Linked DNA regions of Caenorhabditis elegans. The protein of the gene in region 1 interacts with the protein of each later gene in a biochemical or structural test. Each region holds a gene or a part of one and is shown on either strand. Other genes may lie near its edges.

Region 1 (11,588 bases):
AGCGAGGTGTCGTTGGCGATTTCGACTTCAGTCTCATGAACGACTGGAAGCACCCATGGCTGTCCCTCCTCTGTGCGGTAGGCTCCAATTGTCAGGTTAACTTTGACGGGAGCCGTCTCATCGAGGTACATCTTGTTCTTGTGGAACACCTCGATTGGTGGAGCAACTGGGATTCCGTCAAAGAAGGACATGTTGAGTGTTGTTTCTGGAATTAAAAAAAATCAATAAGTTTAGTTATAGAAATTGAAGAGATGAAAAGAGTGGCGGTATGCCGCAAAACGCGATAATGAGGTGTATTTATATAGCGAAAGAGATCAAAATCGAAAAATGACCACGTTAAAAGGAGGTCACCTCATCGACATTCGAGAGGATTTACTTGGAAACAAAAAACGTTTTAGGTGTTTCCAATAAAAATCGATTTGATGATAAAAATTATTATACGATAAGAAACGTAAAACTTTCTACTTTCTTATTTTAGCACTCAAGAAATCAACAGAAACGTGTGTTGATAAGACTACGGGCCCAGTTTCAAGACTGAACTAGATGGTTACTTTCTATTGCACCAAAGTCGACAGTTCACAACAAAAGTTACAGGAAATTTTGCCTAGTTTTCGGACAAATTGAGGAAAGGGGGTCTCAAAAACGGACTGCCTCTTCTCGACAACTCTTTCTCGTCGGCCCGCCCTCCAATAAGCACACACTATTTCCGAGAAAACAACACATGCGGGTAGAAAACGAGAGGCAGCGTTGTTGTTTGCCAGAGACGTTTTTCGAGACGTGACCATTTTGAAAATTTTTATTTCGAGGAAAACGTGATGGCAAGGTGGAGAGAACGGGCAAAACGCAGCGCAATGAGATCGAAATGTGTCATTTGTGAGGGTTTCAAAGTGTTCTTTGATAAGGCAAATTACTTTTTTGAAAATTGAAAAAAAAGATTGGATATTTATCTAGGTTAATGTAATAAGATCCTAGGAATAAATGAAATTATATCAAAATTCCCTCACCAAAAATGAAAAACTATTTTTTTTTTTGAAATTTTCTAGTGGAAGTTTTCTTCTGTTTTTGCCTATAGAAAAACCTTGAAAGAGCTGATTTTTTCAAAATCCCTTTACAAAAGGAATCAAGGTTAACCTATACAACTACCTCGTGAACTTCAAAGATTCAAAAACCAAACGACCACTTCAAAAATTATTGGCAAAATGACCTTTTGAAATGAGTGATGGTGCGAAACCGCCTAGATAAATAAATATAACAATCTCACGTGGCCAGGCGGAAAAACATGTTTATGTAAATTTTCGAAACGAAAAATAATCGGTTTTCTTTTTGGGGTGATGATGGCGGGACATGATGAAAAGAAATGGAACAGTATACACGAGAAAATCCAAGTTGCTGGGTATTTAGAAATATGGATGAGAACTAAACAACATTCCGCCCGGTAAACGCCTTTGAATGAATGAGAAGTAAAAATGAAAAAAAATCACAGAAAAATATTCACCGTAATGAGAATTTGCATACAAGATTTCCGGTAGAAAGAAGGGTGAGAGAAGAGGTAAAGAAAAAGGCGATAAGAGGCGCCTCCGGGCCGCCTTAAAGCCTCAATTCTACGTGGCGAAGTTCTCAACAAAGTTTTGTAAAATTTACGACAACTAAAAATTTTTTCAGCACATTCTGATTTATTATTTTAGTCACCGACTTTAATGGGTGGCCTTTAATGATTTTGAAGTTAATTTGAAAATTTTTAAAATCAATAAAGATGAACATGGACATGGATTTTTCACAAAACTAACAATTAAGAGGCAACAAAAACAAACATAATGATAGTTGTTAGAAAAATGGAAATTGAACAAAAATTTCAAAAACAAAGAAAGCAAGTCAACAAGTGTCTAACGAAGAAGTAAACTTTTCTCATCACTTGGACGCCGAGTGTGCTCAAAACCATTGTGCTCCGAAATATGACACTTTTCAACTCGTCCCATCGTTCAAAGTTATTATTCCCTCTCATTTTTTTTCCCGCGCTCTCGTTGGCTCTCGTATCATGAGCTCTCGTTGACAAGTAACTTTTAAGTTTCAAAATTTATCTATAGTTGTTAAAGTATAATGTTTTCCTAGAAGCTGTAAGCTTGGCAGGTGACTTTCCCTGCGGGAATTGCGAAAAAAATAGAGACTGAATAAAACGCATATACTGTTTCATATTGTCTGGCACGTGCCTTGTGGCAGGAGGTATACCAATACACTGCCCCGTTCTGATCCGATTACTTTGACAAAAGTCGCCGAGTCTGATACTCACAAACAGTAGCGTCAAGTGAGGAGGGCTCACTTTACCAGAATTTATTATGAATGTTTCTGGTATCATCACATTGTTTCAACTTTCCACGCGCTGTTACATTGCGTTTTGAATCGATTTTTTGGTATTCTGCCAAATATAGCTTCAGTGCGTTGCACTCGAGCATCTGAACATATTTGCTTTTTGTTTGGCGAGAGGAAGGAAAAAGCACTGAAAAGTGCTTAAAAATCGTTTTGAAATAAGGATTAGTAACTGGATTAGAGCTAGAGCATTAAGTGATATTAGGCAATTTTTGTTATTTCTAAAAATATGGAACTATGCGGGTGGAATTTTTTGTTCACATGAACGTGTCAAAAAAATTGTTAATGTTCATACCCTCATTTACATTTCCACTTTTATGGCATTTTGGAAAAAGATGGCTATATTCGCCCTGTTAGTTTTAGAAAACCTTTTCCACTAGATATTGAAATTTCGAAGTGAAGTTTTCGCTTTCATCAAACATTCTTCGAGAGCTAGCTTCAATTGTTCTCCTTCATTTTTTCTATTGCTTTATGTTGCATTGAATAGCTAAAAAAAAATTCAAAAAGCTATCCCTTCAAAAAAAGAAAATTCGCTGCTTCTCGACGTGAAAAACAATGAAAAAAGTGTTCGGTGAGTACTTGTTCTATTTACACAGCAAACCTTTTTAGCAGCCGAGCTGTTAGAAAAACCAAAAAACGCCACCAAAATATGCTTATTCACATTTTCCGTCATCACCATCGCCGCCGATTTCTGCGCATGACAAAGTGGCTTTTCTCTCTTTTTTTGGATTTCAAGGTCTAACATTGCCGTTCTAATGCCCGTTTTTTAGGTTACATTTCAAAATAACCGACTATTTTCAGAAATGTTTTCTCATCAAGATCGAGACCGCGATAGGAAGGAGGACGGTGGTGGAGACGGTACTGAGATGAAATCCAAGAGTCGGAGTCAGCCAAGTGGACTTAATCGCGTGAAAAATCTTTCAAGAAAGCTATCGGCAAAGTCAAGGTTAGTTTTTGAGGGGTTTTCGGGGGGTCAAGGGAAGTCAAAAACCGCAATTCTAAAATTTTGCGATGGGTAGCCACAGAAGGGATGTTCTTTTCATTTGAAAATGTGAAAAAGATTAATTTTTTTTAAAACCACACTGATGAGTTTAGTGAAAAAATTAAACATGCTTCTAGCGCCTCAGCTAATCAACTCAGATTTTCCGTACAAATTACTTTAGTATTACGAAATATTGAAAAATTCATCGGCCCTCAGCAAATTAGATTCCAATTCGGGAAAATACTGAATTTTCCCTGAATTCCGTGTTTTGTCTGTGTGAATTAAAGATTGTTCACATTTAAAATAACGTACCAAGGTTTTTTTTTGAAAACTTTCTAGATCACTAGTTTTTGAAAGACTAAATATTAATTTTCAGCAACTTTTTGTAAACGCCCATTACGATTAGCAAAACAGAAAAAGATAACAGCAAAAATGTTCAATGCAAAAACAAAAGAAAAGAGACTGGAGCCTTAATGCAAAACGAACAATGTGGGGGCCCTTCCCGAATAAGTGAGCCGCGCGGAACGCTGCCGCCCTCCACTAAACAACGCGCGGTACGATACTCCGTTCATCGGACCAACTTCCCCCCTCTTTACCTAGTTGGCAACATTTTCTTCGTATTCTCACGGATTCTCCTCATTCATTCCGCTTTCAAACCCAATTTCCGTGCATTTAGCATTGGAAAAACACGTGCCGCAACGTATCCGAAAATAGTGTGAGACGCAGACGGCTGGCGCCCCGCGTGAGGCGACCAAAAGGCTTTTCTTCTTTTTGTCCTCCGTTGAAAATCATGGTAAATTGAGTGATCTCGTTTGCGTATTTGTGTGTATGAGAGAGTGTGAGTGTGTGTGTGTGTGTGTGTGGACACGCCAAAGCTTGATGGAGTCACATGTATATCATGAAAAACACAAACAGATACCACACCAACGAATCTTGAACCTTGAGTTCTTCCGCCAGTGTTCATTTTTAACATCTCTTCATCGTTCTGCAAGGAGACCTGTCAAAATTTCCAACAAAAAAAAGAGTTTCCCATAAATTAGGAAAATTCTGATAGGTTCGGAAGTTTTCCGTGAAGTAACTGAATATATTTTCAATGATCACGAGAAGGCAATTGAATAAATGTTAGTTGGAAAATTTTTATTGAGCTTCTAGATTTTGTTGTCTAATATTTGAGCCTCAAACTTTTAATATAGGTTATTATTTTTTATTGCAGCCGACAATTTTTTGTGGCAATTTATATACAAAAGCATAAATATCTGAGATGCTTAGTTTCATAGAAATTCAGTTCAAGAGGCTTCACCGTATAATATAATATATTCTTGCTGAAACTACAGGAAAATTTAGTGGGAACTTGTGAAATTTGAAAGCTCCCAGATTCGATTTTGTCATTCTTTTATGCAATGCAAAAATTATTTTTAAAAAACTGTTTTCGACATTTTCTCATGATTTGTGAAAAAGTTTTTTTCTCAAATAGAAGTTAAGCTCATTTTTCTAAATAGTTTTTCTAAACCCTGGATTGTCTCAAATCCGCTGTAGAAAAGTTGAAGCGACTGACATCTTATGAGCTAAATTTTTCCTGAGTTTTTGAAATAGACTACATCTTGATAATTGAACATTACAGTTTGACAAAATTTATAAAAATATTGATCAGTTGGATTTTATTATTTTTCTGTTGTTTTGTTCTAGCTCCAGTAGGGTGGATATTTTTCAAAAATCTCAAATTTTTGTGCAACTTCTATTAGTACAAATATAAAAATATTTCAAACGTGCACTTTTTGAACATGGACATACGTTAAATTTCCAATATAAAGGGCAAACTTTCAGCTGAGTTAGGAGAATATGAGCAGCTGTTAATCACATAAATCTAACAAAAAAACCACATGTTCCAACTTAAAATTGATTTCAAAATTTTGTGGCCAAAATGAAACCCTACGATGTCAGCCGAGTTTACTTTTTCAAAGTGCAGTTAGAAAAATTGTCTCAATTTTTTATCAGTGGAAACGTTTTTGGTAGTCTCACTAATTTTAAAGTTTAACTCGTTTTAGTAGAAGTCATTTAAAAAATTCAAAAATTGCGGTGTAACAGTTCTTTTAATACTTTTTCAAATGCCATAAATCGTCTGTAATTAATTTTCTACCAACTTGACAATTTCAATTAGTAAAATCACAGTTTTAATGCATAACTTTTTGATGCTAGTCGTATCAAATTGTGATTATTGTTGTTATCTTCACCACTTATATTACGAGTGTATCAAATTTCGATGACACAATACGGCTATTATTCATTGAGCGCTTGTGTTTTCTCTATCGTCTCCACTGTCTGACCTTCGATGATGTTTTTCTACATGTTTTTTTGTTCTCTCAAAATAGATGTTTCAGTTCCTCCAACCTTTTGAAAATCTGTAATTGGTGTTGATTTTGGAACCTTTCCTATTGTCTCTTCTACCATTCATATCCGGCACATTTATGTCAAAACACTGACTGCACCTGCTGTTTTTGAAATTTAGTGTCTGGTGTCTGGGCGGCAGTCATAAGACCTGATGGGCATACGGTTTTCCTAGAGACTCCTACTGCAATGGTCATTCTGTGATAAGAAGTTGCTTTTTTGTTTATCCATTCAAAATTACCATCCAAAAACCACACCAGTTATCAATTTTTAAGTCTTTGAGACCCGTAAAATCAATCAATCATGTCCACATTGCACTTTTGCCTGTAGAAAAACGCGATTTTCGGTTTTCAATCTTATCTCATTTCTGGTTTTCGTTCCCATTTGACTACTTGTTGTCAATTTTTTAGGTTAGGTCTAAATAAATATTAAAGATTTTTTAAAAATTTAAATGAAAGTTCAATTTCTTCTTTCTATTTTTTTGTTCCTACCTACCAACGCTGTTTGCGCCGGAGGACGATAGACATAAGGAAACGAACACACGGGATGCCTTTCCCTTCTATTTTTCTCCTCTTTTTCTCTATCTCTCGCCATTGCTTTGTGCTGTATGGTCAACTCTCGTTGTCTTCGCTGTGCGTGTGTGTTTGTCTGTTGTTAGAAAACGAGGAAAATTGTGAGAAAGAGTGAGCGAGGAAGATCGAGAGAGAAGAGTGTGCGTGTGAGAGGTGTAGGGGTCGCGAGAGTGTGCGGGAGGTTGGCGGACCTTTTACCACATTTTCGGCCAAAGGAAAAAAGGCATCGATCTTTGTTGGTTGTAGTTCTAGACATTTTTTGTTTCTGCTATGTTCTCAAAACACCAAAACTTGTTCTTAGATTTCTGATCTTTGAAAAATACATGCTCTTTATACACTTGTTTTTCTCGTTGTTTTGCTATTTGCAGGAGGTTCCTCGTGACTGTATTTATTGATTTTTTAACTGAACAATTATTCTGAGGAACTTGTGAATTCGAGATTTTACTTACGATCATTTACCTACCAACAACGTACGTTTTCAGAAAGGAACGCAAGGACCGCGATAGCACAGACAACAGTTCGAAAATGTCGTCTCCAGGAGGAGAAACGTCGACGAAGCAGCAACAAGAGCTCAAAGCTCAAATCAAAATCGGACATTACATTCTCAAGGAGACACTCGGAGTTGGTACTTTTGGTAAAGTAAAAGGTAAGCTACAACACCTTAAAATTCAACCAAACCGGAAAGTTAGAAACTTTTTCATTTGCTGCAACTTCCTGGCAACACCATAAGCTGCCAAATTGTTGCAAAAATTTTGTCCCAATCTGCCAAATACTGACATATTTATCTTTCTTTTCTGTTCATCTAGTTTTCACATTTTCAGTTGGAATCCATGAGACAACTCAATACAAAGTGGCTGTCAAGATTCTGAACCGTCAGAAGATCAAGTCACTGGATGTCGTTGGAAAGATTCGCCGCGAAATCCAAAACCTCTCGCTCTTCCGCCATCCGCATATCATCCGCCTCTACCAAGTCATCAGTACACCTTCTGACATTTTCATGATTATGGAGCACGTTTCCGGCGGGGAGCTCTTTGACTACATTGTTAAGCACGGACGGCTGAAGACCGCAGAAGCTCGTCGCTTCTTTCAACAAATCATTTCCGGCGTTGACTACTGTCATCGTCATATGGTTGTCCATAGAGATTTGAAGCCAGAGAATTTGTTGCTCGATGAGCAGAACAATGTGAAGATTGCGGACTTTGGACTTTCAAATATTATGACGGATGGTGACTTCTTACGCACCAGCTGCGGATCGCCAAATTATGCTGCCCCTGAGGTTATTAGCGGAAAGTGAGTGATTATGGTGGTCTCCTGATCATGGTTCAATGTAAAATAAAAACCAAATTAGAACTGAATAACAAAACATGAAACATGTGTTCGCAAACACCAAGACGACATTTTGCACTAGTAGAAATCCAATTAAAGTAATTGAACAAGATTAGACACAACAACTTTGTTTTGCAGGTTGTACGCAGGTCCCGAAGTTGATGTATGGTCGTGTGGAGTCATTTTGTATGCACTTCTTTGTGGAACCCTGCCATTTGATGATGAGCACGTGCCAAGTCTTTTCAGAAAAATTAAATGTACGTTAGTGTGACATGAGAATCAAAACACAAAAATGGCAAAGGATTACGACAACATACCAATTTCATTTAGACATATGAAAGCGAAATGGGATTTGAAAATTGAAATATCCCTATTACAAAAGGCACTATTACTATGTTTTGGCGCACTGCCCGGGTGATAAATGTTTGAAATTTAAATTGGAATCATTAAAAATTATAACGTTCACGAAATATGTTTTTTAGCTGGCGTATTCCCAACTCCAGACTTTCTGGAGCGCCCAATTGTAAATCTGCTTCACCATATGCTCTGCGTAGACCCGATGAAGAGGGCCACCATCAAGGACGTCATGTAAGTGGTCTTCTAAAAAGAAAAAAAAAACAAACATCGTTGCTATGAGACGCCAAGGAAACAAGACAATAACTGCTTTATATTTTCAGTGCTCACGAGTGGTTCCAGAAGGATTTGCCGAACTACTTGTTCCCACCAATCAACGAGAGTGAGGCTTCCATTGTTGATATTGAGGCTGTCCGAGAGGTCACTGAGGTATTAATCGTGTTCGATAGGAGCAGAAGTTTCTAATCACAATGAAAAGTTTCAGCGCTATCATGTCGCCGAAGAGGAAGTCACCTCAGCATTGCTGGGAGATGATCCACATCACCATTTGTCGATTGCATATAACTTGATTGTTGATAACAAGAGAATTGCCGATGAGACTGCCAAGTTGTCAATTGAGGAGTTTTATCAAGTGACGCCGAATAAGGGACCTGGACCAGTTCATCGCCATCCAGAGCGCATTGCAGGTAGGAGAGGGTGCATAGAAAAACTCTTGGTGGCAAAGAATAATAAAACTTTTGCATCGAACATGAAATTCGTAAAACAATATCTAAATCTTCAATTTCAGCGTCAGTCAGCAGCAAGATCACACCAACTCTCGACAACACGGAAGCCAGTGGCGCGAACCGCAACAAACGTGCCAAGTGGCATCTGGGTATCCGATCCCAAAGTCGTCCGGAAGACATCATGTTCGAGGTGTTCCGTGCGATGAAGCAGCTGGACATGGAGTGGAAGGTGCTCAACCCATATCATGTGATTGTTCGTCGCAAGCCTGATGCACCCGCTGCCGACCCGCCAAAGATGTCGTTGCAGTTGTACCAAGTGGATCAGAGAAGTTACTTGTTGGATTTCAAGAGTTTGGCCGACGAGGAGTCTGGATGTAAGGGTTTTCTTTGTTTAGATTGAACTTTTTGAAAGTGGAACCTGTTTAAAATATTTAGTTAATCGTTCTAGAAAATACTAGAAAATACAAGTTAGTGCATTTTTTTAAACTAAAATCACAATTTGAATTTGAAAAGCCGTAGAATAATATTTTGCAATGGTCTCTGAACATGCCCCTCTATAACCTAAGTTTCTGCATGTAGTCTAGCTTAACGTGTCACAATAATTTTGTTCAGAAATGTTTAAAACGAAGTTTGCTTTGCAGTTGGAAAAATAAAAAGGTCAATGGAAATTCTTTTTCAATAGCGTCAAGTCTTCTCAAGACGATTTTTTTTGTATGCATTTTTTCCTAATGGGTCAAATGAATATATAATTTCCACCTCAACCAATATTCATTAAAAATTTCAGCCGCCAGTGCATCTTCATCCCGACACGCATCAATGTCTATGCCGCAGAAGCCGGCCGGAATTCGTGGAACTAGAACGTCAAGCATGCCACAGGCGATGAGTATGGAGGCGAGTATTGAGAAAATGGAAGTGCATGATTTTTCGGACATGTCGGTGAGAATTAATATTTTTCTTTTATTTCAATATTTTTATTGTGAAGTATTACAAATAACTGGAATTGTATTTGGAGTGGTTGATATAGTTATAGGTTTTTTAAAAATCTTCGAGTGACAAGAAGTTGATGCCACTACCTTTAAATAATTAACGCACTAATTTTCAATGACCGAGTATTTTCAGTGCGATGTGACACCACCACCATCTCCTGGAGGAGCTAAGCTTTCCCAGACTATGCAATTCTTTGAGATTTGCGCCGCATTGATTGGAACACTGGCTCGTTAAGCACTCCTTGATGCCAACAATGCTCTGTGTAAAATTCAACTTTTCTGTCTCAAAATTTATTTCTTCCATTCCTTGTATTAAGCTTGAAACCCCCGTTTCTTATATTGGTTCACTTTGTTGCAGCTTACAGTATCTTTGTATTTTTTTTCTTGACTCTGTTTGGTTTTGCCCCTCCCCCCTTCACCTCCGTAAATGCCACGTATTTTAATTGATGCTATTCTAGTGCCGCTTTCATTTTCAGCCAATTTTGACAAGTAACCATACAAATAATTATTTAAAGTTATGACTTGACTTGTCACCCCCTTTGTTTCTGTGAATAGATTTTCCTTCAGCGAGTGATTGTTTCTGTTTTTTATATGTTTCTCTTCAGTAGTTTTTTTTTCTGTCTTTTAAACTCCCCTTCTCCTACTTCTTTGTGTCTATTGTAAGTAAAATATTAATTGAATAATTTCCTACCCAAAATTATTCAATTATTCTCATGTAAATTTTTATTTTAAGACACAACATTGCAATGGTAACTTTAAAACAAGAAAAAACAAATTCAGAAAGATCCAGACGCAATTTTCTTTGCCTTCTCAGCCTTCTTCTTTTTGTACAGAGAGTAGTTATGTTCGGCACTCATGTAGGCAGTTTCCAAGAAAAGGAACACAAATTCGCAACAGGTAAGGAAGGATATTCCGCACCAAAGACCGAGTTGTCCACCAAAATCGGCTAGCAAGTTGACAAACTAGAAATAGTTGAGATAAATTTTTTGGAATAAAAATAAATTTTTTTTTGCCTGCTCGCTAGTAGTAATTCGGCATTTTTTCGAATTTTTTTGATACATTTCTTTGATACACGTTCTTTGCCTAAATTTTTCAACTCACCCCATAAGCCTCTGATTCAGTGAGCATTTCAAAATTCAACTGCTCGTAGAACACTTCCACCATTGCTCCGTTCTCTCTCAAATAGGCCCAATTTTAAAGTGTGTTTTTTCTTGAATTAACTTACTTATAATGCTTATTACACTCTACCGCTGTACCATTACACGATCCTAGTTGAATTTGCAAAGATAACGACGGCCACTTTGCCGGCGAGTATGTAACGGAGTAGATTGACTGGCGGCATGGTTGTTGGCATCTTAAAATTGAAATTGCAGTTTTTTATTTAAAAAGTATATAACAATTCAAAAGTTACCTGCAACGGAAAGATCCGTGTAGGCCTCCCAAGTCATTCATTCTGGCGTCAAGACATTTTCCTGCAGAAAAAAATATTTATGGAGATGTCAAATTTGAAACTAACTTGCAATAGGGTCTGCTGCATCGCAATGCCGTGCATTTTCAGGGACTGGGAAACGTGGATCTCCACATCTGCACTCTTTCAGCACGAGTTGTTGGAAGCAAGAACGGTAGCAGCCCTGGAATAGTTCCCTCTGTTATCATATTAAGTTCTATATTTAATTGCTATTTTAACAAGAATCACAAAGTTTCTATGACCCATTTTTCCTACTAAACTTGCTTAAATTCTGTTTACTATTCACCTCTACCGAATATTCATAATTGCTGTAAATATAGTCCGATGTTTTGCCATCTGGCACACAATCTCCATAAGGTGCTGGCAAACGTGACATCTTTCGCTGAAAACAACAACACCATTACTCTATAAAAAGAGTTTGAATTT
Region 2 (8,754 bases), on another chromosome or scaffold:
ATTGCAGTGTACTTTCTGACATTATTCTTGTTTTCTTGCCGCATTCTGCCGTACTCATAAACTCGCTGACCCCATAGATTCTCCGCCGCCAGCAGATTTTATTTGTCAAGGCCAATTTTCTGATTTTTCATTCTACGGCAAAGTGCATCTTTTTTGGCCGGCGCGGTCGGACATTGGAAAACATAAAAAGTAGGAGAAAAATATTTGATTTCCAAGAAATTGTATAAAGAAGACTATAGTTTCTTATTGATTTCATAGGAAATAGTAGAACTGCAAAAAATTATTCAGGCATACACTTTGCAGTAGGCACGTGGCAGGCAGATAATTTTAAATTTTTTTCCTGTTTTCAAAAATGTTTTAAGATGACCAATGATTTCATAAACTTACTATATTAAATGCCGTAGCTTAAAGATCACAAGAAAATGTTTCGAATCCATAAAAGAAGCAATTCTCGTGATACATATTAACCACGCAATTTTTTATAATTTAATGTTCTCTTGAGAAACCAGAGCTCAAGAAAAAAATGACAGAGATATTCTCAATTTTTGAGCACACTAAAATCTCTGACCCCAAGACGACATTAATGTGCTTGGCCAATGTTCAGAATTTTTGGGATTTTGGAGGTTTTTTTAAATTCTAATATAAATTCTTCCAAAAAAGGTAAAATAATGGGTCTCGTCACGATAAACTTAAAATTCAAATTCTCCAAAGCAATTACCTTTGGTGATAGAAATTCAAAAAGAGAGACGGCTCGAAAAGTGCCCCTAGAAAAGTGATAACGATGTGAACTTTCGAATTAAAGTGTTGACGCAAAAAATATGTTTCAAACTTATTTTCGAATTCCCGATTTGTCTCTTTTGCAATTCATTTCTAGTTGATAAGAGGGTTGACTCTCCCGATTCCATTTCTTTTTCTCTGAAAATTTTTTCAAGAACTGAACATTTCAATTCTTTTACGAATCGTTCTCTTGGTGAGCAGGAGATTTTTGTTGCAAAAATTGTGTTCAAGCCTCAAACACCAGTGACCAGAATCTCTTTCTTTCAAGTTTCACAACATAATAGAAAAATCCTTTTAGTGCAATATCTTGGCTCTTCCGTGGTGGTCTTGCCAGTTGACAGTTTTACAGTAGTTTTATGAAAACTACAGTATAGTTTCATTAAAAAAATTTTTTTCTGGAACTCTAGTTAATAAGAGAAAAGATTTCTTAAACTTTTCGGTCCTGACATGCTCAAAAATTTTCAACTACCGTACTTCATGCATATCTTTAAATTTTCCCCTATTTCTCTCGTTTTTTTATTACGGAAACACTAAATTCTGAGAATGCAGCAAATTTGACGCGCAAAATATCTCATAGCGAAAACTACAGTAACCCTTTATATACCTACTGTAGCGCTTTGTGTCGATTTACGGGCTCGATTTTTGAAATAAATATATTTTCGAACTGCGAGAACAAACTTTTTTTTTCACTTTCCTTCGAAATTTTTTAAATTTAAATTTGAAAATCGAGCCCGTAAATCGACACAAGAGCTACAGTAGTCATTTACAGTGATTTTCGCTACGAGATATTTTGCGCGTCAAATATATTGCGCAATACGCATTAATAGAATTGTTTGTTTCCGTAATATCGGTAGAGCAAATGTGCATCACCGTAGTGAAAACATCTGTTTATCTCCCGAAAGCCATCCCTCACTTCCTCTATTCGAAAAAAAAACGGGCCCAGTACATCTCAACGGTCACCTGCTAAATTTGAAATTCAGTGGGGGGAAGGCCCATCTGCTAGAGAGTGTATCTCTCTTCTTTTTTCGATTCGTCTAGACCCATTTTGCAGACGAAAAGGCACATGATACCCATTCCCCAACAATTCAAACTAAATTTGCAAAAAAACATAGGTTCACATTATATTCATATGGGGAGACCCTTCTAGTGGATCATACACCGATACCTTATCACATTTTCTGTTAACAATTTGAAACAGACATACACAAAAAAGAATGGAAAAGAGTTTCATGGTTTGAATTTCGGAGATCACAGGGCAACCGGCGGGAACATTGGCGCCCGCCGCCACAATTGTGATCTCTTATTTTAAGCGATCACTTTTTGGAGAAAGAGAGCGAGCGGGGCGCAAGAAGGGTCGCACGTGAATGACGAGGCATCTATGTGTGGCTCCGCCCGTTTTTGTTGACTTGTTTCTCTGTCTAGTGTACTTTAACACACAATTCAGTAAGTCTTTTCCTCTTCTTCTCCTGTGCCCGGAGAAGAAGAAAAAGACAGGTGGGTTTTGATGATGATCCACGAAAATAACCGTCAGATGATTATGTAAGAGACACTTTTTGATCGTTTTCAATTGAAAATAGAACGTAGCAAATTGAAAATAGTTTTCGTCGTGTTTTTTGAAAAGTTATTTTTTTGTGAAAAACATGAGTGTTTTCTATGTTTTGCATGTTTTCTGCTCTTTTTCAGTTATTTACAAAATGCAGCAAAAGATTGTTTAGAAAGATTGAAAAGACTTAGCGCGTATAGTTTGATCTATTGGTGGGGGTGGAGTCAGTGCATCTAATTTTACGCGCAATTTTATTATGAAAAAAAAAAAAAAAGAAAAAAAAGAAAAAAAAATTTCTTTGAAAAGCAAAAAAATTGCCAAAAATTGGAGATTAGAAAACTTTTAAAAAAAATCGGCAACTCTATTACGGGAACACAAACTTGTGAGAATGCGTATTTCACAACATATTTGACGCGCAGAATGTCTCGTAGCGAAAACTTGACTACTCTAACGCTTATGTCGATTTACGTGCTCGATGTTCGAAATCCTTTGATTTAATAAAATTCATCTCGAAGATCGAGCCCGTAAATCGACACAAGCGCTACAGTAGTCATGTTTTCGCTACGAGATATTTTGCGCGTAAAATATGTTTTGCAATACGCATTCTAAAAACTTTGTGTTCCCGTAATAACCAAAGTGCTTCGAAGTTTTACGAGAAAAATCCAATTTTTTGGAACTATTGTTAACGACATGTTTAGAAAAAGGTGTTTCTTCAAAAAAAAAGAAGGAAAATTGACAGAATTTCAAGGAAATTTACAAAAAAAAATCGAATTTTAATTACATTTCTGCTATATTTATGAAAAAAATTCGTAAGAAACTGTTATTTTTCCTCAAAAAAAAAGAAAAAAAAAACCAAAATTAATATTATATACTTTTAGAAAAATATTTTTTTTTTCGAAAAAATATAATATATTCTCCAAAGTTTTTCCAGCTCAAAGAAATTTTCGCCTTTCTTTAATTAAAAAATTTGAATTTGAAACCTTCATATTTTCTGTACTTTTTCGTAAACTCCGGTGTTTGCACAGTGTAGATTTACGAACTCTGATTTTTTTTTCTTGAAATCATTTTTTTACCAAAATCTTCTCTCACGATTTCCTCTCTTTAAAAAACTCATGTTTTATTCCTAATAGTGAGTTCGTTTGGGGCGAGCTTGCTGCTTTTTCGCTTTATATCTTCTTTTTTTCGTTTCCCCTTTTTCTTTTCCGTCTCAAAGTTCATAAAACAGTTTTGCACTTTCTCGTAAACAACTCTCGCATGGGGTCGCTCAGAAGTTGATCTCTGAAACCTCTGTCGCCGGCCGCCAACCAACGAGAAAAAAAAGCATTCCCAATGTCCTCTTTTCTATTTTTTTTTTCTTCATATTATTTCTCAAGGAAAGACATATCGGTTTACTTTTCCATCATTTGACGAGAACATGTGATGGAAAAAATGGTGGAAAAGTGGGCAAAAATGGATTGTGATAAGAAACTTTTTTTTTGCAAAAAAATCTTCCTCTATACACATTTTATGTCAAAATAAGCTTCTTCTCTCTCTCTTTTTATCAGTTCGAGACGTCGGAAATGTTCATTTTTAGTTAAGATTTCAAAATTATCCAAAATAAAAACGTTTCATTTGAAATTAATTTCCTCATTGTAACTTCTATTCAATTTCTATCTGTATTTTAATGATGCAACTCGAGGTTTTTAACATTTTTTGCTTATAATTATGATTCTAAATTGAAAATCAAACTAAAATTTGCAGCAAAAGTCTTCATTACATTGCTCGAAGTGCCGAAATTTTCTGCAAAAATTCTCACAGGACATGCAAGCGTGGAACTGTCGTGAGGTATGGCGCCGCATACGCAAACACCTTGCACACACATCGAGAACTACCGTATACTCGCAGTTTAAATTTCAAATTTTCGAAATTTTTTTCCAATCATTTTTCCCTATTTTTCTTCATTTCGCTGCTAAAAATAGTTGTTTTGAACCCGATTTTGTGCGAAATCGTGGAAGTTTACACAGCTTTTACAGTTGAAAATCAAAAAAGCGCGCTTTTTTCGTCTAATTTGCCCAGTTTTCAGCTCGATTCGCCGCTACCATCTGACATCACACTGCACAATCTCGAACCGGCAAGGCCTGATTCCGGAATGAGTTTTTCCACTGATTTTGACGGTAAATTCGTGATTTAAAGTTGTAAATTCCAATTTTATTTGTTTTTTTTTCAGATGATTTCTTCAATCTCGACCTCCATCAACAAGAGCGTTCGGCTTCTTTTGGCGGAGTAACCCAGTATTCTCAACAATTTCTTCGCGAAAAATGCTCGTTCTCTCCGTATTTCCACACATCTTTAGAGACTGTTGACAGCGGAAGAACTAGGTACGCCAAATTTAAGATTTTTAGGTGGTTTGTGAAGGTTCATAAAAGTCGAATTGCACTAAAAGCATTGTTTCGTGGAAAAAGGACAAACGCTATAAAAGTTGATGATTTTTGCCCTTTTTATCAATTTTTGAAAGAGTTTTGGCTTGTGAACAAGCCTCGGTTTTAAAATTTCAAAATTTCAAAATTTTAAATGTTTAAATTAAAAAAGAACAAAAAAATATATAGAAATATATATATATATGCCGAATGGCCTTGAATTTTTCTCAATTTTAGGTCTCAGCTGACCTTTTACTGTTTCTGATTTTTCAATTCTTGTGGTCGTGTCGCGTCATCTTTTATCTGTCACATTCGCTCTGATTTTTGATCATCGAAATTTCTTTTTTTCGTTACTCTTCCAATTTCTCCATTTTATTTCCGATCGGTTGGCACAATCAAAAGTGATTTCTCTCATTGTTGCTGACCTCGAGATTTGTTTAAGGGAAAACCCTTTGATGTCATCACTGTTTTAGTTGTTTTTTGTTTCTAATCATTTAACACTTTTTCGTCTTTTATAGGCCAACAAGCCTATTGTCAGCTGTTGGTCCACTAAGCACACGGGAAATTCACGTGCATGTGAGGAGGAGAGGCAAATAGAATTTAAAGGGGTTTCCCCGATCTTTTGACTCTTTTCTCTCTTTTTTTTTCTCGCGGAGTTGCAGTTTGCAAACAACTGGTGATTAGGTTTTCTATTTTCTCTTTTCTCTTTTGATTGCTTGGAAATTAGATTTGATGCAAACTTTAATATCATGAGTTTCTGATTCAACTTTTTTAAAGACAGAAATCGTATTTTCGTTCTAAAAATAATTTCTCTCTACAGTAACCCCATTTCTTTTAAAAACCGTCGTCGCCCGTCTCAACAATTACTCACCATTGTGTGCAACATTGTATACGGTGTGACGTTCAGAGGTCGAAAACTGTCACGCGTTTGCTCCCTCACTGTATTGCCAGACAGAGTCTCTCTGTCTCTCTCTCTCTGTTCTGTCACATCAGCTGTTCTTCTCTCTACGGGAAGGAAGCACAAAATGGCAAACATTTGAAAGAAAGGGAGAGAGCAAGTGGTATTTGAGAACGGAAAAGTGCACTTTTTGCACACTGTTGTAGCGGGGTTTTTGATTAGAACAGACGATAGGTCGAAAATCAGAGAACAGAAACGAAGTACCTATTATGGTTCCATTTTAGAAAATTCAAATTTTCGAAATAAGGAGGTTTTTGGCAGAACTGGTAATTCCTGTATGATTTCAAATTTTTTGAATCAAAAATTAAAACAGAAATGTAGGAAAATCATATACCTTTATTAAAAAAGCTTGAAAAGTTTCAGGCAACGCCTGAAAGTCGCTTTTTTTATATTTGGAATTTTTAACTAACTCTACATCTTAAAATTAAGTGTTGATTCTAAATATGGGAATATCATATCGAAAATATTTTTTTTGGCGATCTTGTGCCCCCAAGCCAATTTTTTTTGAATTAAGAGTCTCTACAATATCGACCATTTTCACACAGTACGGTACTTTAATTTAATTGTCATTCCACTCAGCCTTCCTACTATACACGTCCCATTGGATTTCAGTGTCTCGTTGTCTGGATAGACTCGCGTCGAAAAAAAAGGAAAAAAAGTAGTGTGTTCTACTCACGGTCTGTCTGTGATTTTTTTTGCTGCCTCCTCTCTCTGGTGAAAGTGAAAGTGTTTGTTTTGGCCTTTAGTCCTTCTTCCTTCCTACGCTCTGATTTTCAGTGAAATTTGATCGAGACCTCACTTTTTTTTAGTCGACCTGAAAATCTGGTGGCCAAAAATATCAGTTAGATCTAGCTTATCGGAATTACCATTGAGTTATTTGTTCTTTGTACTCTCACGAAATCTTTCCCACTCCATTGCGCTATATAATCAAGCTCCTTTTGACTGTCAACATACTGACAGTCTTTGATCATTTCATCATACATTGCCAGGCGTCTTTATCAATTGCCTGCTGCAAAAGATAAAAGTCAGTCAGACGCGTTGACACCGATTTTTCTTTCTCATGTAAAAAATCAAAAAAGAACAAAAACGGCAAGTGACGTTGTATATTCTGTTTTGAAAATAAATTATTAAAAAAACAGTTTCAAAGGTCAGAGTTCTAGGCGTAAACTAGATGATGTGATAATCTGAAATTACTGTAAAAAGCCCCTCCCACGAAAAATCTTTAGGTTTCTGCTAACTAATAACGCACTTGAACTAGACTCTCTCTTGGTTTTGCACTTTTGTTATTGCCCTCTCTCTGTTTCTCCCCGCACACTCCCGTTTCTTGTTACTCCGATGAAACTCTTGTTATACATTGCTCTTATAGTTTTTGGTCCTTTTTTTTTGGAATTCAAATATTGTTGAAACCAACAACAACGAAAAAATTCCCCGCAATCATTGTTGACTTTTTAACCCATCACTTTACACACAAATGGTATTGGCATGTGTCTGTCTGAAAAACAACCCAATAAAAGTGAAAACGGGGAACATGAAGTTCGCTTTTTTCGGAATTTTGGAACGCTTTTTTTTTCAAAAAAAAAATTTCTTTTGTCGGAAAGTCTTCCAATGACGTTATTCATATAATGAATTCATCACAAAAAGGGAAATCCTAACCAAATTTTTTCGCGATTCAGTGCAAAATATTGCAGCAACTTGTCCAACATCGCTACTCTCGCAACATTTTTCCCCTGTCGTCGTCGCCATCGTTATCTCTTTCCCTTTTTTGTCTCTGCAAATGAAAACCGGTTTCCCCCGTGTTCGATTCGCGATGTCTCCTCTCGATTTTTGTGAAGAGAATCGAAAAACGAGACCAAATGGGAATACCGATGTACTTTTTTCCTCCCTGGAGGTTTTTTTGCCGAGTGTCTAGATGTCTACGTGCCTCGAGAATATAAGAAGGAATAGTTTTATCAGTCTTCTTCAAGTTTCTAGTCTCGAATTTTCCATCTAGCCATCTGAGATAAGAAGAAAATTATATGAAAATGTATCCTAGAATACTGTAATCTTCTTTATCAGTTGTTTCAACAATATCCTTCTTACTGCTCACTGAGCCCTAAACCTCTTGGATCCCACACACACAGATCTATCAATGCTATCGGTTCCGATCTGTGCTCAACTATTTCTCCGATTGCCTTCGTCTCTCAACGATCACCTTATTTTCTAACACTGATGAAATGAGCATGTGATTCGTCTTTTTTTTGCTCAAATCATTCAACAGATTTGATGATGGGCACATCGGATAAAGATTAACAAAATGTTTATCACCTTAGTGTTCGCTTCTTTGAGGATTCTGTAAATTGGATTATCTGAAACTCATCGAGCTTAAAAAGTTGATAGTTCACGGAACCACGTGACTCCCACGTTCTTCTGATGTTATAAGCTTTCTCCGTAATCTTCCATTCACTCCTTCCAGCTTTTCCCCACTGATTAATGTCAACGTGAAATCTATGATGACGTTAATGATGAGAGGATGAAAGGATTAAGATCATCTACTTCATGTTGCTCATGCTTCTTCCTTCCTTCTGATGAGTATGATCACATCGAGTTTTCAATATATTTTCATTCTATGAGAAATCCATTCCACACCATCATGTTCTATGAAACATGTAGCTTTTCGTTGTTCGTCAGTCAACGCACTTTCTTCTATTTTTATTCGAGCTTCTTGAAAGTTTAAAAAGCTCAGACCCCAGAGCCCATCTTTTGGTATACTCTAGGAAACCAAGTGAACACTTTGAGACGCCGTTAACGCTTGACGCCCTTGCTTTTCTAGAGGTCCCATGTCACATGAGCAGCTGAAATGTCTGTTCCTCTTCACTCTTTCTCACATCTCGAATTTTCGATTCTGGAGATTCCGAGACGGATAGAGCTGGAAAAAAAGAGTGAGCTGATTGGAATTCCAGACGATGTGAGTCATGAGTCACACACACTATCCATTCCATCTGAAAATGGTGGAAGTATTGCATTTCAAATGCCATGGTTCTGTTGCTCTTCGCTTTTTTGTTTTTCATGTGAATGGTTCCATCATCTAGATTATGTACACA
Region 3 (11,786 bases), on another chromosome or scaffold:
CTCGTGGCCTAGGAAACCTTTTTCACGGCCTAGAAAACATTTGGCCTAAAATCCCCAAAGCCTCTAAAAGGAAACTTTTTCGCGGGGTTCTGGCCTTCCTCATTGATTTTAGTTTTACAGCTAAAACCGAGCCGCGACGCGACACGCTACGCGCCGTAAATCTACCCCAGATATGGCCGAGCCAAATGGCCTAGTTCGGCAAACTCTTCCATTTCAATTTATGCCTTTTTCACTGTCTAGAAAAGGAAACTTTCCATAAAAACATTTTTTTTTTCAATATGGAAATTTCAAAAAAAAAATTCTGATTCATCTTTTGGACTGAAAGAAAACTAGAAAACTAGCTGAAATTTGCATTTTTTTGAATACATTTTCCAGTTTTTTGTTGTATTGTTTTGTCCGTCCAGACACAATTTTTCACTTTTTTTGGTCTTTTTCTTCCCTTTCCCCAGTGAAGTTTTCATCAATATTTTATGCGAAAACGATAAGAAGAAGAAGCACATGATGTCATCATGGGATTCCTTACTGGATGAACGAAAAAAAAAACAATAAGAAACCTATCAGAAGAGCGCATTTTTACACGTGATGTATTGATGGAAGAGGAAATTTCTGAGCTACTAATTTTGTTTTAGTTTGATTTATTTCTAGGCCTCTGTTTTAAGATTTTTAGGCCATTTAAAAATTTTAAGACAGTTTTGGTGTTTCTAGGTCATCAAAAGTTTTTAGGTCATGTTGAAATTTTTAGTCGGTTTCATATTTCTAAACTGTATATGGATGGAAGAGGAAATTTCTAGGCCACGTTGCTAATTTTGCTTCAGTGTGATTTTTCTCTTATTTCTAGGCCTCTGTTTTAAGATTTCTAGGCTATGTTGGAAGTTCTAGGCCACCTAAAACTTGTGAACTTTTTTCGAACTTGCAAAGTCCTATTCCAAATTTCTAGGCCACAACTAAGACGGTTTTGGTATTTCTAGGCCATCAAAAGTTTTTAGGTCATGTTGAAATTTTTAGTCGGTTTCATATTTCTAAACTGTATATGGATGGAAGAGGAAATTTCTAGGCCACGTTGCTAATTTTGCTTCAGTGTGATTTTTCACTTATTTCTAGGCCTCTGTTTTAAGATTCTTAGGCCATGCTGGAAGTTCTAGGCCACCTGCAAGGTTATATTCCGTCTAGGTCACCTGAAAATTTAAGGTATTTCTAGGCCATCAAAAGTTTTCTAGGTTATGTTGAAATTTCTAGACAATTTTGAAACTTCTGGGCCATCTCATATTTCTAAACTTTTTTGTACTTCCTAGGCCACGGGGTTCTGGCCTTCCTCATTGAGTTTTTTGCGCTCCATTGACAATAGTCGTGTACTCCACACGGACAATTACATTTAGTTTTACAACTAAAATCGAGCCGCGACGCGACACGCAACGCACCGTAAATCTACCCCAGATATGGCCGAGCCAAAATGGCCTAGTTCGGTAAAACTCTTCCATCTCAATTCATTTGTTTGGTACTGACAGGTAATCTGAAATAATAAAAATAAAAATGTTTATATTACCTAACTTTATTTTTAGTTGTCTAGAACACTGCTAAACTTCTGCCATATATCAGGTTTTCTAGGCCACGGCCACGTTTTTACCAAATTTTTTACATAAAATTTAAATTATATGTTGCGAAAATGTTAAATATCTAGACTTGCTGAGAAAACCCTATAATTTCAATCTTTTTGTAGTTTTTGTTATTTTTCCGGCAAAAAAAAAAACTAAATCTCTCCTAAATTTAGCGCTGAGCACTTCCCGAAATAAGTGGTAAACGTCTCTCTCACTCATTTCGGAGCGACACACACACACACAACGCCCTTAGCCTTATCACATGCTCTTTTTTGTCTTTTTCTCTAAGTCTCTCACCGGCCACCACCATCTATTCTCTCTCTCTCTCTCTTTCTGCTTTTTTTTTCTTCTTTTTTTATGTATGTGTCAGCTTCCTTGATTTCCTCTTTTTTCAGCCAATTTCCAGCTTATTTTTAGATTTTTTTAATTGCCACGTGGCAATTGCTCTTTTGTATAGCTTTTAAAAAGTTAAAATTTTCAAAAAAAAATTATTGATGAGTCATTTATTTAAATTTGTGTTGAAATATTTTGTTCCGTTAATTTTTTTCAAAAAAATTGTACACGTGGAGTACACGAGCCTTTTTCAAGTTTTCTGAAAAAAATTTTGGCGGGAATTCAAATCTTCTGAGAAAAATTTTGGCGGGATTTCAAAAAAATTTTCTGAAAAAAATTGAATTTCTAGGCCACGTAGAAAAACTGATGGCCTAACTTATCATTAATCCTAGGCCACAAAGAAATCTGACCTAACTTCTATGTATTCTCGGCCATATTGTGCAAAAACCTATTTTCCAGGCTAAACTTTTCTTGGTCACGAGGGAAAATCTCAGGGACCTCTCAACTAATAGCCTAACTTCCCAAAATCAACCAGTTTTTGGTGGCCGAAGTTTTCAAATTGTTCTGCCACTTGGGAAAATTAAAGAAAATATTGATGACCTAACTTTCCCTAAACCTAGGCCACCAGAAAAAATCTTCTCTAATTTTAGAATAAGTTTCCAAAAGTCGAACTTTCGAAATTTATCTGCCACATCTAGATTTTCTAAATTAGTTTGCCTCTTTTTCAGGTGGCCTAACTTTTCCTAAAACTAGGCTACAGGGAAAACTCAAAGGCCATCTTTCCAGGTGGCCTAATTTTTCAACTTCTTAGGCCACAAGGAAAAATCTTCTATATTTTTTAACCCTGGGTCGAACTTTTCCACTTACTCCATGCCTAACTTGATAAAATCCCAGGTAACGGGGTTCTGGCCTTCCTCATTGAATTTTTCGCGCTCCATTGCCAATCGCCCGCCGGACTGGGAAAGTCGTGTACTCCACACGGACAAATACATTTAGTTTTACAACTAAAATGAAGCTACGACGCGCTGTAAATCTACTCCAGATATGGCCGAGCAAAAATGGCCTAGTTCGGCAAAAACTCTTCCATTTAAATTTATGAGAAAATCCATGCCAGGTCACGTGGGGATACCGTTGATGTTCCTGATGGCCTAATTTTCCAAAATACTAGGCCATAAGAAGATAGTGGCCGAACTTTTAAATTTTATCGGTCACGCTGCTCTCCTCGGCAAAATGAAATTTTCTCGCAATGCAATGTTTCCCAAATTTCCCCCATACTACTCTCGACACATTTTCCGATTTTAGATATATATATATATATCCTTGTGTGCATGTGTGTCTAATCTCTGAAAGTGCTCTCTCTCTCTCAAGGCTTCTCCTCCACCCTCACCTCCTCCTTCAGCTCTCGGATTTCATTTTCATTTTCTGATCTTTTCCCGTCTCTCTCTCCCTTGCTCGTTTTATTTTACTCATTTCAATCACCTGCAGGAAAAACATCGAAACATTTGAATTCTCCATCTGAAATTTCCCCCAAGTATAGCGGAAATAGACCGACGAAATCGCTCTCTCCCTGGGAGCGATGCGAATGTCAAATTCGAATACACCACGCAAGTTCAGTGAGAAGATTGCAATACTCGAGAGGAAACAGAATGAGGAGAATACAACGTTTGAGGATATTATGCGACAGGTTTGGAAATTAGCTATATATATATATATATATATATATAATGCAAAATTTGTTTTTCTAAATTGCGTTTTTATTTGAAAATTTAACATTTGTTGAGAACTAACAAAAAATTAGTAAAAATAATTTTTTGGGCGAAACTAAAGAAATTTAACAGTTGTACCAGGGGTGGGCGCAACTGCCGTTCGGCAAATTGCCGGTTTGCCGTTTGCCGGTTACCAGATTTGCCGGAAATATTTAGAGGGATTTTTTATAAGACGGAAAAATCTAAAAACGTTTTCTTTAGATATTTTCATATAATATGCTTACTTTTCAAAATAGATGTAGGAACATTCATAGGATGCGTTTAATTTTGCCATTTGAAATTGAAATTCTGAAATTTCCAAAAAATAGTGCGAAACCACAATTTGCCGAAAATTTTCGGCAAATTACCGTTATTCTGGCGAATTCGGGAAATCGGTAATTTGCCGGTTTGCCGATTTGCCGGAAATGTTTAATTCCGGCAATTTGCCGATTTGCCGGAAAAAATCGTTTGCCACCCGCCCCTGACAAGTTATACTCGAAGAATTTTTTTTTTTCAACTTTTTCATAAACTCATCAAAGTCATGACTTTCAATTTTTTAGTATCAAAAGCGGATAATAGTTACTTGAAAAATATAATTGTCTCGAATCGAATAATTAATCGAAAAATTGGAAATGTCTACTGAAATAGCGCCAATTGTTTCAAAACATTAAAAAAAAAAACTAAAATAAAAAAAAATTCTAAATTTTATATGAGTTTTTGAAAATAGGCAAAATCTCCGTTTTTGCCACTTTTTTGGAAGTCGTAGATCAATAAAATTTTTATTTCATTTTTATAGTCTACTTGTGCTTCAAACATTAATATTTTCAAATTTTCGGCAATCGACAATTCCGGTAATTGCCGGTTTTGTTACTTTCCGGCAATCGGCAATTTCGTCGATTGTTGGTTTTGGAAATTTTCGGCAACCGGTAAGTTTGGAAATTTCCGGTTTTGGAAATTTTTGCCAATTGCCAAAAATGATAATTTCCGGCAATTTCTGGAATTGCCGGTTTTGGAAATATCCGGCAATTTCGGCAATTCCGGCAATTGTTGGTTTTATGGATTTTTGGCAATTTTTGGCAATTTCGGCAATTGCAGAAAATTGAAATTTCTGACTATTTCGGCCATTTCGGTAATTGCCGTGTTTATGAATTTTTGGGCAATTTCGGCAATTGCCGGTTTTCAAAATTTTTCGCAATGACAATGGCCGTAAAAATGTTAAGTAGCAAGATGCCAATATTTTTCTATTCAGGTGCAATCAATCACCCATCATCCGACGGATTCATCAGGATCATCGACGGCAACTGCACCAATGCCCATTCCGCAACAGGTAAGGCGAATCTACAAAAGTGAAAATAATTGTGGAAATATAGAAACATATTTTTTCTGTTTGAAAATAACATCCATTTTCATCGAAACACTTGAAAAATATCTCAAAAACTGCCTGAAACTTTCCAAAGAATTTGCCTTTTTTTTTTAGAAATTTTCAGAACGTCTCATTACGGAATTTGGTAGTTTTGTATCATTTTAGGTCTAAAAAAGCAAAGTCTCAAATTTCGGTACTCCACCTTTAAAATCAAAATGTTACAATTATTCAAATGTTAGTATAAACTATTGAATGAACATATTCCAGGGTCTCCTTCCACCTCAACAACCATGGGGTCACAATCTCGGAGGATCCCTGCCGAACGTCCATCAAATGCCATCCTACTCTCCACCACAATGGCCACCAAATTGGCAGCACGAGATTCAACACAGACCTATCGTAAGTTTTTTTCCTAATTGTAAATCTCTTCAGCAACGAACTCCATTACAGCAAGGACATCGAAGTCGATCACCAGAGGATCACATGATCGGAAGTGCATCTGGATCACCATCACATCACTATCATCCGTATGGAATGAGATCGAATGGATTATCACGATCGCCCGATCGAACGCCTCCCCAACACCCGCAGTATACGCCCTATGGACCCCCGTATAACCAACCTGGACAGCTTGTGCCGCCCGAGTCGTGGAATCAGTGAGTTTTTGAATTTTGATAAATATTTAAAAACTGAGTTTTTTTTCTCTAAAAATCAGCGTCAGCGAGAAGTTTTTTTTTTAATTTCAAATGCAAATTTTTGCGAACTACATTTTTATACTTTAATTTTGCCTTAATTATTCGTATTAAAACATTGTATTTTTTCTTTATCGATTTGAATCTTTGACAACAAACGGGATATTATAAAACGTTTATAAATAGTTGAAAATTGTTTTTTGAGTAGACAGTTTTTTGTCAAATAACTGGTTTTGGAATTACAATCCAAAATTTGGACTTTTTCAAAACGTGTACCTAGCACACTTCCAATGGCCGTCGTAGCTCAGAAATGGGTATAGATGAAACAAGGTGGCCAAATTTTTTGAAATTTTTTTATTTACTGTCAAAAGGTGGCAATTACTATTTTTACATTCAAAAATCCAAAAAAAAAACCAAAAAATATTGATGCTTGAGTTTATTTTTAATGGGTTTATTCAAATAATGTTGCAAAATGTATTAACATACATGTTTTAATGGATTCTGATACAGTTGTGACGTAATTTTTCTACATTTCAATTTTCCGACACTACTTGAATAACCCTACTAATAGAGAATAGTCACGAGTCGAGACTCGACACGGCAAACATTTTTTGGATTTTTTGGACTAAAAAAAAACCAAAAAATCAATTTTTAGATTTTTCGAATTAATTTTTCGCAAAAAAAAACCAAAAAAACCCTGCTTTGCATGTTTCTAAAGTTACAGCCGTTCAAAATTTAAAAACTCATTTTTGCAAATATTTTTCATCACTTTAATGACACCAATACGCAATGACTGAGTCTGTAATTTCACATAGTAATTTAACTAACAAAACAAAGTTTTGGAAAAAAATTCCGAACCAATTTTTTTGATATTCGATTCAATATTTATTTGACATTTCACAGCCTTTTTCACGAAAAAAAAACCATTTTTCTACCTAAATTACCCGTATCCGAAAGTCGGGCAGTCTTGTTGCAAATATTCGCTGAATTTAATCCTTTAATATATATATTCGAAAAATCAGAGCCAATTTTTGACCTTGCAGAATCAATCGTGCACGTTCGGATCCTGCAATTCATAACATGGGCGGTATGGTTCCAATGCATCCACATCACCATCAACAACAACAAATGGCATTTCATCAAATGCCTCATTATCTTCAAAATTCGATGCCTGGACCATCTGGAATGATGGCTCCGAACAGTCAATCACAACAACACTCACCTCAGTTAACACCTCAAGGATCGCAGCAAGGATCACCGGTTCAGATGCATCATCAGATACCTCCACCATTACAAATGGGCAATAACCAACAAATGGGCGGAGGCAATAATGGAATGTCACCGTTACAATCACCTAATCATATGATGACACCTATGTATGGGTGAGTTGGTTGCAAAGTTTAAGTGGCCCGGGGATATAAAGTTGGAGATTTGAACCACAAAAAATGCGGGATTTTTTCCCCAGAAAATAGTGACGTCAGCACGTTCTTAAGCATGCGAAATCAGTTGAGAACTCTGCGTCTCACCTCCCGCATTTTTCGAAGATCAAAGCTAAATGGGACTTTCTAACTCCACGTGGTTGCAAAGTTTACGTGGCCGTGGCGTGGTGGCCGAGTGGCCGAGTTTTCCAACCAAACTTTTTGAGCAATTACCCGTAAAATTACGATTTCAGCATCTAATTTTAAGTGCCGACCAGCAAAAATCTTTTTAAAAAATCAGCCACCAATTTTTTACACAGACACTTTGCACGGGGTTCTTTCTTTCCTCATTAATACTTTTTTGGAGTTTCTATGCCATCAAAAGTTTTTAGGCCATGTTGAAATTTCTAGGCCGTCCCATATTTCTAAACTTTTCTGTACTTCCTAGGCCACCTTTCAATTTTCCAGGCTCCTAAAATATTATTTTTCACGGGCTCCGGCCTTCCTCACTGAATTTTTCGCGCTCCATTGACAATCGCCTGCCGGACTGGGAAAGTCGTGTACTCCACACGGACAAATACATTTAGTTTTACAACTAAAATCGAGCCGCGACGCGACACGCAACGCGCCGTAAATCTACCCCGGCCGTGCCCGAGCTAAAATGGCCTAGTTCGGCAAAAACTCTTCCATTTCAAGTTTTGCAAAATTTTTACAAAATTGTGTTATATTCGTAAAATTTCCAATGGGACTGATATCAGCAGTTTCGTTTGAAATTGCCACGTGGCCGAGTTTCCCTATTTCGGGGCCTATTTCCGGATTTTTTAGAACACACCAATAACTGCTACGTGGCCGAGTTTTCTCTTGTAGCAAATATGCCCGGCCACGTAAATTTTCGAATAAAAAATAACAGAATTCAGTAATTTGGGCGATTTTCTCGAATGAAAACCTTTAAAAAAAGTAGATTTTCGGTTTTTTTTTTCTGGCTTCCCTCATAAATTGAAATGGAAGAGTTTTTGCCGAACTAGGCCAGGCCATATTTGGGGTAGATTTACGGCGCGTTGCGTGTCGCGTCGCGGCTCGATTTTAGTTGTAAAACTAAATGCATTTGTCCGTGTGGAGTACACGACTTTCCCACGCGTTGTCCGGCAGAAGATTTCCAATGGAGCGCGAAAAATTCAATGAGGAAGGCCAGAACCCCGTGTGCAACGTGGCCGAGCTTTTTTCAAGGCCGCGTGGCCTATTTGTTTATGAAATCTGAAAAAAAAAAAATTTTTGGCCGGCAATTTTTTTTTTTGGAAAATCTATCTATCTGGTTTTTTTTCAAATTTTTCATCATGCCCGAGTTTTCAGTTTTTGCGGAATTTAAAAAACCTTTCTCATTGAATTTTTCGCGCTCCATTGACAATCGGCTTCGGGAAACGCGTGGGAAAGTCGTGTACTCCACAATGACACTGAAACCGAGCCGCGACGCGACACGCAGCGCGCCGTAAACCTACCCAAGATATGGCCTGGCCTAGTCCGCCAAAAACTCTTCCATTTCAAAATATGAGGGAAACCTAAAAAATGACACTTTTTCAAACGATAATCCGCATACTTTCCAGGTATCATAATGGCTCACCACTCCATTCACCGATGGATTCACCCCATGCCTCAACATTAATGCTCGATGGATCAGGGACACCCTCTCCGTATATGGAAGTAAGTCCTCCCGGAATGCATGATTTCAATCAAGATGCCGGAAGTTTACCCAATCTTCAAAATGTGCAACAGCAGCAGCAACAGCAACAGGAAATTTATACAAACGGGGGAGCCCCTGGTGGTGGATACTATCATGCTCCAATTGGACCAAGACATAGTACAGGTGCATGTGGTCCGAGGCTAGTACCCGGTCCAGCGTTGACACCCGAATCACAGTCGGCGCCGACGTCACCGCATAATCAATTGGATCCGAATCAACCGCCCATGTGGCCGACGAGAACATTCTCCAATTCACCGGAGGCATTGGATATTCCGAAATTGACAATTACAAATGCTGAAGGTGCACCTGGGCATCATGTTGATTCGTATAATGATTTTAATGTAGGTTGTATTGAATTTTCACGTGGTGTCAGATTGCCTCATTTCGGCTTGATCTACGTAGATCTACAAAAAAGGCGGGAATTTAAACGCAGAGTTCTGACGTCACATTTTTTTTGAGCTAAAATTTCCCGCATTTTTTCTAGATCAAACCGTAATGGAACAGCCCCTCACGTGGTGGCAGGCTGTCCCTTTACGGTTTGATCTACAAAAAATGCGGGATTTTTTTTGCCCAAAAAATGTGACGTCGGCACGTTCTTAACCATGCAAAATCAGTTGAGAACTCTGCGTCTCTTCTCCCGCATTTTTCGGAGATCAAACCGAAAAGAGACATTCTGACACCACGTGGCCCCTGGCACCCCACGTGAAAATTAAAGTAGCGAAATTTTGTTTTTTGTAAGCCAAAAAATAGTCTTAAATTTTGAACGGAGACCAAAAATTTTTTTTTTTAATTTTAAAATTTCCGCCGATTTTTGCTCATGTTTTGCTGAAACTCGGCCACCAATTTCACTTTCGCGGTCACGTGGCGATCGTAATTTTCGGATTTTTTCAAACTTTTCAAGACAAAAATTAAGTTTTCACAAGTTTCAACAATTCAAAAACAACTCGACGCCTAAATTTTTAGATTTTTTTCGAAAAAAAACGTTCCTGTCCTGATTTCTATTGAAATTTCGTAATTATAAAAAACTCGGCCATCAATTTTTTTTCTCGGCCATGCGGTTTTTTTCAAAAAAAAATTCAAATTTCTGCATCTTTTTTTTAGTTTTCTATGCTATCAGTTATGGTTTTCAAAAAACAAAACTCGGCCACCAATTTTTGTTTCGCGGTCGTTCTGGTCTTCCTCGTTGAATTTTTCGCGCTCCATTGACAATCGCCCGCCGGACTGGGAAAGTCGTGTACTACACGACAAATACATTTAGTTTCACAACTAGAATCGAGCCGCGACGCGACACGCAACTCGCCGTAAATCTACTGAGCCAAAATGGCCTAGTTCGGCAAAAACTCTTCCATTTCAAAATAGCTATATTCCGCTGAATTGTGGTTATAAAAGAACGAAACTCTTGGAAAAAAATATAAAAAAAGTCGCTGCGAGACTCCGTAAACCCCCTTTGTCCAATATAGCGCAATTGCATCACACATCTTTTTACAGGATCTTGGCCTCGACTCACTGGACAGCGTGTTATGTAACGGAGCGCCGCCACAGACAATATCCAACCACCAAACACCCAACAACTCATTCCATGATCCGGGCGGTACACAAATGCTCCAAAATTAGGTCCCGCCCACGCACGTGGTGTCAGAGTGTCTCATTTCGGTTTGATTTACGTAGATCTACAAAAAATGCGCATTTTTTGAAAATTCCCGCATTTTTTGTAGATCAAACCGTGATGGGCCTGGCACCATGTCTCTATCTCTCATTCACTTTCTCTCTCTCTCTCTGTCTCTCTAATTCTCTTGCCCCTCGCCACGAGATTCCACGTGGCGGCGCCTATTTTTATCGAAATATACCCCAGAATTCCAAAACAACAATTAAATGTGATAAAAGACGAATTTCCGAAGCCCCCAAACACACACCTCTCCACCCACGCATTTCAATGTTCTTAATTTTTGAAAAAAAAATCGATAATTTTATTACTCTCTGTGTCTCACACTCTCTCACTCTTTTCCAGAATCTTCCCCTCGTTCCTCAAAGAAAATATTACGGGGACATAAAATGCTGAGAATGCGTACTGCACAACATATTTGACGCGCAAATATCTCGTAGCGAAAACAACAGTAATCCTTGAAATTACTACAGTAGCCGCTTGTGTCGATTTACGGGAATGATTTAATAATCGATTTAAAAAAAAAAAAAAAGGAAATATTTAAATTTATTTCAAAAATCAGCGCTACAGTAGTCATTCAAAGAATTACTGTAGTTTTCGCTACGAGATATTTTGCGCGTCAAATATGGTGTGCAATACGCATTCTCAGAATTTTTTGTTCACTTAATACCAATCGCTCACGTTACTTTTTCTTTTTTTTTCTGTAAGAAATTATAATTTCAAATTGTTCTATTCCTGAAATAATATAGCAAAAGAATTATCGATTTTTTTTGGTCACACGTGGAAGAGAAACACAAAAAACTCGGCCACAAATTTTTTTTCGGCCATGTTGTAGGTGGCGCCAATCTGAAGGCATTAGAGCAAAAAGCTTGTTAAACAGGTAATCTCTTTTATAAAAACAAAAAGAACAGTGGAAGACAAGAAAAAGGCACAAAAAAATGAATGTGAACATAAAGAGAGATCCGTCATAAAAATTAAAAATCGCATTGTGGGGGAAAATTATATTATTATATACATAAATAGTTTGAAGGAAAAACCAAAAATTTTGTTCCCTTCTTTTAAAAAATCGAGTCATTCTCGATTAATGTCTCCTATACGGGTGGCTGTGGTTATCCCGTCGGCGGTCATCTCCACGGCGTCTGTCATAGTCCCGGTCACGTCTATGGTCTCGGTCGTCTCTGGAGCTTCGCGATTTTGATGGGTGACGCTTTCCATCATTGCGTCTCGCGTAGCTTGTCG

The links.
Region 2: of the proteins of aak-2 (region 1) and daf-16, one has a biochemical effect on the other in vitro, tested with the Caenorhabditis elegans proteins (one study listed by BioGRID).
Region 3: of the proteins of aak-2 (region 1) and crtc-1, one has a biochemical effect on the other in vitro, tested with the Caenorhabditis elegans proteins (one study listed by BioGRID).

Annotation. Positions count from the first base shown.
Region 1 is NC_003284.9:16,792,922-16,804,509, forward strand, and holds aak-2 (5'-AMP-activated protein kinase catalytic subunit alpha-2), read left to right. Parts: upstream 1-3,167; coding exon 3,168-3,310; intron 3,311-4,193; exon of another isoform or gene 4,194-4,253; intron 4,254-6,785; coding exon 6,786-6,949; intron 6,950-7,124; coding exon 7,125-7,593; intron 7,594-7,767; coding exon 7,768-7,886; intron 7,887-8,111; coding exon 8,112-8,217; intron 8,218-8,306; coding exon 8,307-8,412; intron 8,413-8,461; coding exon 8,462-8,669; intron 8,670-8,770; coding exon 8,771-9,082; intron 9,083-9,492; coding exon 9,493-9,644; intron 9,645-9,827; coding exon 9,828-9,929; 3' UTR 9,930-10,470; downstream 10,471-11,588. Other genes in the region: got-1.2 (Aspartate aminotransferase, cytoplasmic), read right to left, coding at 1-191; Degenerin mec-4, read right to left, coding at 10,471-10,656, 10,796-10,871, 10,920-11,048, 11,106-11,166, 11,211-11,325, 11,449-11,544. UniProt on the Caenorhabditis elegans protein: Acts as a sensor that couples lifespan to information about energy levels and insulin-like signals. Role in motility and response to oxidative stress. Involved in the establishment of germline stem cell (GSC) quiescence during dauer development.
Region 2 is NC_003279.8:10,746,512-10,755,265, forward strand, and holds the start of daf-16 (Forkhead box protein O), read left to right. Parts: upstream 1-3,986; coding exon 3,987-3,998; intron 3,999-4,051; exon of another isoform or gene 4,052-4,060; coding exon 4,061-4,144; exon of another isoform or gene 4,145-4,194; intron 4,195-4,382; coding exon 4,383-4,473; intron 4,474-4,526; coding exon 4,527-4,677; intron 4,678-5,907; exon of another isoform or gene 5,908-6,046; intron 6,047-6,554; exon of another isoform or gene 6,555-6,701; intron 6,702-8,754. UniProt on the Caenorhabditis elegans protein: Forkhead-type transcription factor. Binds to the promoters of genes that contain the daf-16/FOXO binding element (DBE), TTGTTTAC, in their regulatory region.
Region 3 is NC_003279.8:2,022,903-2,034,688, forward strand, and holds crtc-1 (CREB-regulated transcription coactivator 1 homolog), read left to right. Parts: upstream 1-3,413; 5' UTR 3,414-3,510; coding exon 3,511-3,612; intron 3,613-4,922; coding exon 4,923-5,000; intron 5,001-5,303; coding exon 5,304-5,435; intron 5,436-5,486; coding exon 5,487-5,692; intron 5,693-6,771; coding exon 6,772-7,110; intron 7,111-8,747; coding exon 8,748-9,225; intron 9,226-10,372; coding exon 10,373-10,498; 3' UTR 10,499-10,846; downstream 10,847-11,786. Other genes in the region: Y20F4.4 (C2H2-type domain-containing protein), read right to left, coding at 11,629-11,786. UniProt on the Caenorhabditis elegans protein: Transcriptional coactivator for crh-1, the homolog of vertebrate transcription factor CREB1. Regulates the transcription of metabolic genes and may have a role in mitochondrial dynamics and metabolism. Involved in modulation of lifespan.